2 linked regions of the Caenorhabditis elegans genome follow. The protein of the gene in region 2 purifies or fractionates together with the protein of the main gene of each other region. This does not show direct contact. Each region holds a gene or a part of one and is shown on either strand. Other genes may lie near its edges.

What was found.
Region 1: the proteins of memo-1 (region 2) and spp-5 fractionate together in Caenorhabditis elegans (co-fractionation; one large-scale study listed by BioGRID). This does not show direct contact.

The regions. Positions count from the first base shown.
Region 1 is NC_003284.9:7,319,128-7,322,162, forward strand, and holds spp-5 (Saposin B-type domain-containing protein), read right to left. Parts: upstream 1,228-3,035; 5' UTR 1,227-1,227; coding exon 1,074-1,226; intron 1,026-1,073; coding exon 867-1,025; 3' UTR 810-866; downstream 1-809. Other genes in the region: T08A9.13 (uncharacterized protein), read right to left, coding at 2,872-3,035.
Region 2 is NC_003283.11:7,844,112-7,849,395, reverse strand, and holds memo-1 (Protein memo-1 homolog), read left to right. Parts: upstream 1-2,402; intron 2,403-2,782; 5' UTR 2,783-2,859; coding exon 2,860-2,913; intron 2,914-3,227; coding exon 3,228-3,301; intron 3,302-3,652; coding exon 3,653-3,820; intron 3,821-3,866; coding exon 3,867-3,935; intron 3,936-3,987; coding exon 3,988-4,100; intron 4,101-4,149; coding exon 4,150-4,658; intron 4,659-4,711; coding exon 4,712-4,777; downstream 4,778-5,284. Other genes in the region: grd-8 (Ground-like domain-containing protein), read right to left, coding at 5,097-5,284. UniProt on the Caenorhabditis elegans protein: Plays a role in the oxidative stress response and the maintenance of longevity by regulating the interaction between GTPase rho-1 and oxidase bli-3. In turn, this serves to modulate bli-3 activity and the control of reactive oxygen species production.

The sequences.
Region 1 (3,035 bases), on a different chromosome or scaffold from region 2:
ATCACATAATTTGCTATAAAACAAAAATTAAAAATTCACGTTAGTGTAAACCCGTGTGATTTGTGACTAGTTTTGAATTACGGAAAAAAACATAAATTATTTTCTGCTCAATTACGTGAACAAATGTATTATGCATACGACTTCCTACATTAAACAAATTTTTTTCAGACTCCCTCTGTCTTTTTGAAGGAATTCGATGACTTTTTGATCTATTGAACTTAATTTTCTGTTGTATCCGTAGATAAACGGAATATTATGTGATTTCACGTGATCACAGTTTCGATAATTGTGAAAAAGTTACAGGTATTATATATTGCAAATCATCAAGACGCGGCACTTCCCTGAAATTGTATGTTGTTATCTGTAAAAATTAGGTGTCCAGGGCAGGACAATTTCACAAAGAAAACTTATCAAACCAAACTCCTAATGTGTCAAAAAAGTATCAAAGGTTTTGAAAAAAGTGTACTCATTTTTCGCTGTTCAATCAATAATTGTGCGCGAAAAGCTTTCAAGCTTCAAGATAATTCTAGAAACTCAAGAAAAGCTTGCAACGAGCTTTCAGCGTTTCAAGCAATAACAGTCACGTGTACATGGTGTGCAGACCGGGCAAGTTCCAAACTCTAAAATCATAATGATACACATTTTTTCAATTGTTCCCCACTCTCCTGGATTGAAGCTTTTTGGATTACAGTCCTTATCAGTACTATTATGATTCGTTATTAGACTTGAGGCCCTTTCTAAAAAATAAGGTCCAATACATTTCTGGTCACAATTATTCTATATTTATCAAAATTCTGGTTGAAACTTTTAAAAATCGAAAATTTATTGGTAAAAGTTTCAAACAAGTAAAAATTTCAATGATCCGTTTATGGGCATTCGTTAAGCTTGGTGCACACATCCTTTGGAGCGGTTCCTCCTTCCAGCTCGTGAATGATTGGGTCTACCTTGCTGTTGACGTAATGATCGCATTCTCTGGTTCCGAATGGGATGGTGTGGAAAAGCTTCTTGCATTCAGCATCGAAATCCTAGAATATTCAAGAGTTGTTGGTTTTTTTCTAGCACGGATTTATTACCTTCTTGATGACATTGGCATCCTTATCGGCGGATCCTTCGTATTTCTTGACAACCAACTCACACATTTGACAGCTCAATGCGCTTCTATTTTCTGGGATGGCAAGTCCTGAGGCAACGGCGACCAAAACGGCTAGTACAAGAAGAGTCTTCATTCTGTAATAAAATAAATTGAAATGAAACACTGAAGCATCAAAACGCAAGGAAGAATTGAAAGAGCACGCGGTGATAGGGGCGCATTTATAGCAAAAACTTCCCAATTTTGATTACTTGACCATTTGATAAGAAGCAGCGTCGAAAGCGGAGAGCATAATGTATGGAATAGAAAAAAGGTTACAGATCGACAACATATGCATTAAACTCGTGATAAATAGGAAAATTGTCCGGCTTGCAGGAATGTACTAAACATTTATACTATGTTGCAATGCATGATAACTGTTTTTTAACGATCCAGATGTATGACATTTAGAATAACGTCAACTTACGTTGTTATTTGTAAATATATTTAAACTTTCTTTGGATAGAACGAGTAGGTAATGTACAAATATAAACTCGTTTATGATCAATTTTTTGCGAACTTTCAAGTTAATATAAACATTTAGTATTATTGCCACGCCACGACATAAACATGAATTTAAAAAATTAATGAAACTATATTTTGAATATATAACTGTTTTCGAGTAAAAATACCACAAAGTAAGAGAAGTAGGTGTTTATTTTTTTCCAGAAATATATTACTGTTTCGGCGGTAGTATTTAGTTTCCACAACGTTTCAGTGTTTTATTCCGCTCTGATGTTCATCTGGAAAAATAATGTTGTTCAACTTATTCAATTTTGTAAGACTGCAAAAATAGTCATCAAATAAGTTTAGATTCATAGTAAGTAAAAGTTGTTTAACAAAATAGTGTCCACTAGATTTACCGAGAGGTTCGAGGCAATGGATTAGTTTTAGATAAAACTTTATTGTTTCTGAAAATTATGAAAGGACTTGTGGCATTTGTATTCGGAGCGGTTTGAAACAACATTTAATATTTTTTTGCAACTATATCTTTGAACGTGAGGTTATTCATTCCGTTTCAGATTTTCCCGCATAGACTGTTTCTATTAACTTCCCTAGAAACCTAAGATCCTTTGTATGATATTATAACCGATTTATGACTCAATATCGCATAACTCTAACAAAAAACTTATCATGTGGTAACATTCAAAATATTCGCACATTGTCTAGCTTTAAGAGTCAAAATTAATTCACTCCCTATGGGAAAAGTGTTGATATAATTTTTCATTTCCTTGTCTTTGCTTCTGATCTCCCATTGTGAATAGGGAATTCAAAATTTTCAATCGAAGTTTTGGTAACTGGCCTTTTTTAAGTAAATTTTTTGAAAAAAAAATGGAAGCGATGCAGCAGGTTTAAAATTTCTATATTGGTCAATGACAACTATTTAAAACATGGTTAAAAATTGGCGAAAATTCAAAAAAACATGTTTTGGCCGACTTACAAAAGTATAGTCATATTTAACTGAGTTTTCAACCAATATCATCGAACTAACTGCTCATAGATAATTTTTTTCTAACGTTTTGCGTTTTGATATTGGGTCATTTTAACAACATATAAATGCTTTTAAAGATTTTCCCAAATAATGATATTTTGCTTTGAAATGTTGGACAGACAATGTACCAAGACCATGTCAGAATTAAGACAATGCAACAATGTTCATATGGAAAGACTGCATCAGATTGAGACCTATTAATTATAAAATTTCAATAATTTAGAAATTTTAACAGACAAATCAATTATTTTCACTTTGTCAGTTCCTCGCCTTTGGCTCCCATAATTACACGTGCATCCATCACAGCTTGAGAAGCTTTTTGTGCAGCAATAATGGCTTTAGCTATTTTCTTTTTGGTGAGCGTCTCGTTTTCTTTCCGTTCTTGTTCCGTCAATGTTGGGATTTTTTTCAGTA
Region 2 (5,284 bases):
ATTGTTGATTGGTTCAGATATATTCGACATAATTTCTAACTTTTTTCCGCAATGTTTCAGAATGTTTTGGGTTATTTTTCTCAATATTTTTTCGAATTTTCTCCGAACTCCTTCATCTTGGAAGCTGAAAGGATGGGGTGTCATGGAACTAGCAAATGTAAAGCATCCATGGTAGGCAGGCACATCTTCAGGCGCACGTGGTGTCAGAGTGTCATGCTCGGTTTGATTTACGTAAAACTACGAGAATTGCGGACTTCACATTTTTTTGGGGAAAATTTGTTGAATTATTTTTGTAGAACAAGCGTCCCTTTCTCGTACCTGTTAGTTACAATAGTCATTTTGGCGTGATCTTCGGTGTTTTGTTTATCGATACAGTGCGAATTCAAAATGCAAATATTCCCGATTTTTATCCAGAACAAAAAATAAGTCACTGGCTGATTTTTCGTTGCCTTTTGCATTAAGGAGTACTGTAGTTTCCAGATCCGTCGTTGGTCGTTTTATAGTAAATAAGTTTTTCAATAAATTTTGAGAAAACAAGAGAAAAGCTATTGAAATCAAAATTAAAAATTTCTATGTAGTTCTACCACAACAAGGATGCTCTAGTTGGGAACTTTAGTGCTCGTTGAGACGCACACTCGTTTGCTTTTGATAAATCGATCCTGTCGAAACCCAACACAGTATTTTCTGAGAAAAATATACATATTGCATCTGGGTACAACTTGGTCCAGAAAAGTTACAATGTAATTGTTTTTCTATTTTCCCACGATCACTTTACATTTTCCGTTCCCTTACATAAATTTTCACCTATAAAAATGAACAAACATGGATCGACCGAACTGACGACCCGGGGCGGAGAGCGGGCAAAGCGAGGAAGAGAGTGAGAGCGTTTTGTGAGCGAGCGTCAGGCCAGGCAGTCAGCTGAGTGTCTCTGCCTCCCCACTCACGTTCGATTTCTCGTGTACTTCTTGCCCGTGACCCGTTGTGAGATGTCTCACGTTTTAGTCTTTTTTATCTTGTTTAATTGCCCCATTTCACTTTCAAGTACTCATTTATTACTTTTTTCGTTTTTTGGATAGTTATTTTTCCAAAATTAATTTTTGATTGAAAATATAAAGAATCTACATTCTAATTTAATCAAACAATTTTCTTCATAATTGTTTTTGAACCCCGTGAAAAATGTATAAAGATTCAAAGTCAAATCAAAGATATAGGCGTATTGCGTGACCAAACATTTTCTCGTTTTCCCTTCCCAGCAGCCACCGAGTGAGTGTTTTTCTACCACAGCAATGTGAGCGAATGTGAGCGTCAAAAGAGAGTGTCTTTTTCTCTTTTTTTTGCATTTTCGTCTAAAAGTAGAAACGAAGATAAATGAAAGGGCTGAATGAGGGCTGGATGGACCCGATGACCGCTGAAAAGTGCATTGTTCAGAACTGGAATATGGGAATATTTCGGGGGAAAAAGTATTAGGCAACGAGAAAAACAATCATTCGTGTCTAAATACCTGCCGTAGGTGTAAACAAGACGGAATGGAAGATGGATGATACGAAGTAAATATTGACTCCGTGGTTTACATTTTCAGCTGAAAATACTTACGGCTCTTAGAAATAGGCTTGATACGCATAGATTTTATACCGAAAAATGTTCAGTGTACCAGGAAAATTTAGACAATTTCTTTCAGAAAACTTTGCAAAGCTTATTATTAGTTACAATTGTTATAAAATGAAGAATGCCAAAAATCAAGTTTTATATTGAAAGTCAAATAGGCATGAGGCAGGTATGTAGGCATGAAACTTTGCCTGCCTATAATGGAAGACATAAACGAGTGAACACGAAATAAAGTAGTGAACACGAAATTTTAAAAAAAAAAAGGCAGATTTTCTACAAACCTACCACTTTTTCCATTCTTGGAACTCCCCTTCTTGGCCCTCTTCCAATATTCAAGTGCGAAAAAGACTGAAACAGTGGCCCCTCTAGTGTCAAATGTCTGCCGATTCCATTGTTCTCGTTCTATTTCACTGCCTCCCCTATTGTGTTCTTTCTCCCATCACCCAATACTCTCTTTTTAGTCTTCTTTTTCTTCTAAATACTATCGGCTGGTGTTGTAGAAGAGCGTCTTTCCTTTCATTCTTTTGGCATGCATCCTCATCCCTCTTCATTATTATTATTATGATTATTATATGGCATTGCTTCAGGCAGCCAGTTTCACATCACAAAAAGTGTCAAATTTTCAGGTAATTGGTAGACTGAAGACTACTCGCGGCGGTCCGACAAGACGACGACGACCAGCACAAGATCAGCGCGGTCCTCTTCAATACCATCCACGTCGAGACACGTCGAACGCGAAACAGTCAAACTGTTTGACAGAACCCTCAAATCACTCCCTTCACACATTCTTTTTACGGGTAATTTCAGACATTTTTGGGTGGAATGCAAAGTTTTAAAACGTTTTTCTTATGATTATTTGTATGGGTAGCTTTTTGAAAGAAGCCTCTAAAAAATTTCAGGCGCGCTCTGACGGAAACTTGACGGCGATGTTTAATATTCAAAGTTTCTCTACGTCTCCCGAGTTTAAAAATTTTATATTCTTGGTCTTGATGCGCAGTTTGGATTGGAGCCTACATTTCGTTTTTGAAAAGTGTATTTTAAAACAGGCCCACAATCATGATTATCTTGATTGTTTAATTTTAGTCACGAGACCATCTCAATTTTTGAATAACGGTGACCTTTTGTCAAAAGAAAATTTCAAAGGATTCCACAATCTATTTCAATTTCGTCTTTTTAGACCGAATCTTCTTTGAACAATTATGCGTTCAGCAAAAATGAAAATTGGCTGCGAACACGAACAAGATTCGTCTGACCATGTCCACGTGGCGGGCTTCACTCGGGAACACAATTTTGGTTTTTTGTCTCAAGGTTCTGAAACTTTCGAAAAAAAGCACACACTTTGCAAAATGCTTTTTTTTTGAAAAAAAAACCAAAATCAGCATTTTTGGATTTTCACTTTTTTCTCAAAATTTTCCTTCGTTTTTTTTTTGGAAAGAAATCAGTTTTCAAAACTGAAATTCAATGAAAAAAAAAACACTTTTTTGTTGCATCAACATTTTCGGATTGCCACATTTTGCTCTAAATTGTTCTTGATTTTTTTTGGACAAAAAATGTTTTCAGAATAGATAATAGTTTAAAATTCAGTTCAAAAAACAAAATAGAAGCAAATCCTGTTGTTGCAGGTATTTCAAAACTCTCGTGCTCTATTTCTCAGGACATTTGGCCTTCCTTTTGCAAGATATCTGAATTTTATTTTGTAAGTGTTTCTCGGAAATTATTCAGAATGAAAAACCAGATTCCCATTTCTATTTCGGACATAAACCAAATTAAAAATTTATTTTCTTTCGAGCCAGTTCCCCGGACTTGATTCGAATTCGTGAAGTAGAGCTAGCCCGATGGCTCATATTTTTAGAACATCTTGAATTAAGTGTGATGTTACACTGTATTGTGAATTTTAATATTAATTAATTAAAATTATTTGAATATTTAAATTCAAACTTTTCCATTTTTCAATGTTGACTATTTGGGAAACACACAGTAGTTGAAAACCCTACTAAACATATTAATCAAGTCGTATACAACAATTTATCAAAACTTTAATATTCAGACCATCTGAATTTAAAATGTCACTAAACGGATTCGGCGAGCACACGAGATCTGCCTCACATGCCGGATCATGGTACAACGCCAACCAGCGAGATCTTGATCGGCAACTCACAAAATGGCTTGACAACGCCGGTCCACGGATTGGAACGGCTCGAGCGTTGATTTCACCGTAATACTCTAAATGCATTTAATATTTATTTTCTGATAACTTTCAGACATGCGGGATATTCGTATTGTGGAGAAACAGCTGCATATGCTTTCAAACAAGTTGTTTCATCAGCAGTGTGAGTTGTTGAAATTTGTACTTGGCAACAGGGCTTACTCAATAACTTTCAGTGAAAGAGTCTTCATTCTTGGCCCATCTCACGTTGTTGCTCTAAATGGATGTGCTATAACCACATGCAGCAAGTACAGAACTCCACTCGGCGACTTGATCGTTGATCACAAAAGTAATCTATTGCACTCTTAGTACATCTTTTACAACATTGCCCTTTGCAGTTAACGAGGAGCTTCGTGCCACTCGTCATTTCGATTTGATGGATCGCCGAGATGAAGAATCAGAGCATAGTATTGAAATGCAACTCCCATTTATTGCAAAGGTTATGGGTTCAAAACGTTACACCATTGTTCCGGTACTTGTTGGATCTTTACCAGGATCTAGGCAGCAAACGTATGGAAATATTTTTGCTCATTACATGGAGGATCCAAGAAACTTGTTTGTGATCTCTTCGGACTTTTGCCATTGGGGAGAACGCTTCAGCTTTTCTCCGTACGATCGTCATAGTTCTATTCCGATTTATGAGCAGATAACCAATATGGATAAGCAGGGAATGAGCGCAATTGAGACGCTTAATCCGGCAGCTTTTAATGACTACCTCAAAAAGACCCAGAACACGATTTGTGGGCGTAATCCGATATTGATAATGCTGCAAGCAGCCGAACATTTCCGGATCAGTAACAATCACACTCACGAGTTTAGATTCTTGCATTACACACAATCAAACAAGGTAGAGATTCAGAATTGCTTAATATTTTTCAATCAACAATAAATCCATTTCAGGTTCGATCATCGGTCGATTCTTCTGTTTCTTATGCTTCAGGAGTTCTATTTGTACATCCAAACTGACATCCCGCCAGTCCTTCACTCTTTTTTCTACGTATTTTCTTTTGCAACTACTGTCTTCTTCCTGAATTGTTGTGTAATATGTGTAAATTGAAAATCTGTTTATAGGCTCTTTTCTCCTTCTATTCAGGATTCGAGCACAGTTAATTGTGTTACTTCATCAACTTTTCACCTCCACCTAAATTTTCGAATTTTCTCCCATTCCGATTGAAAACTTTCGAACTATTCAAATGATATTTCCAACTTTATTGTGATTGGCAAATAAACAATTAATTCACATTTCAGCTTTAATATACAGAAATCTTTAAAGCTAGACCCTCCATTATTTAATGGGACCGTAGACAATGTAGGTGGGCTTGGTACCATTGACACCATCCAAATCCTTATCAGCAGCTCCCGAGAAGAATGAGCTAGCATCGACAATGTTCACCTCTTGCTCGGCGATTGGAGTTGCGTACGCTAGTATGAATTTCCCATCGATTTCTATTTTACAGTTCAGGTCACCGGCAA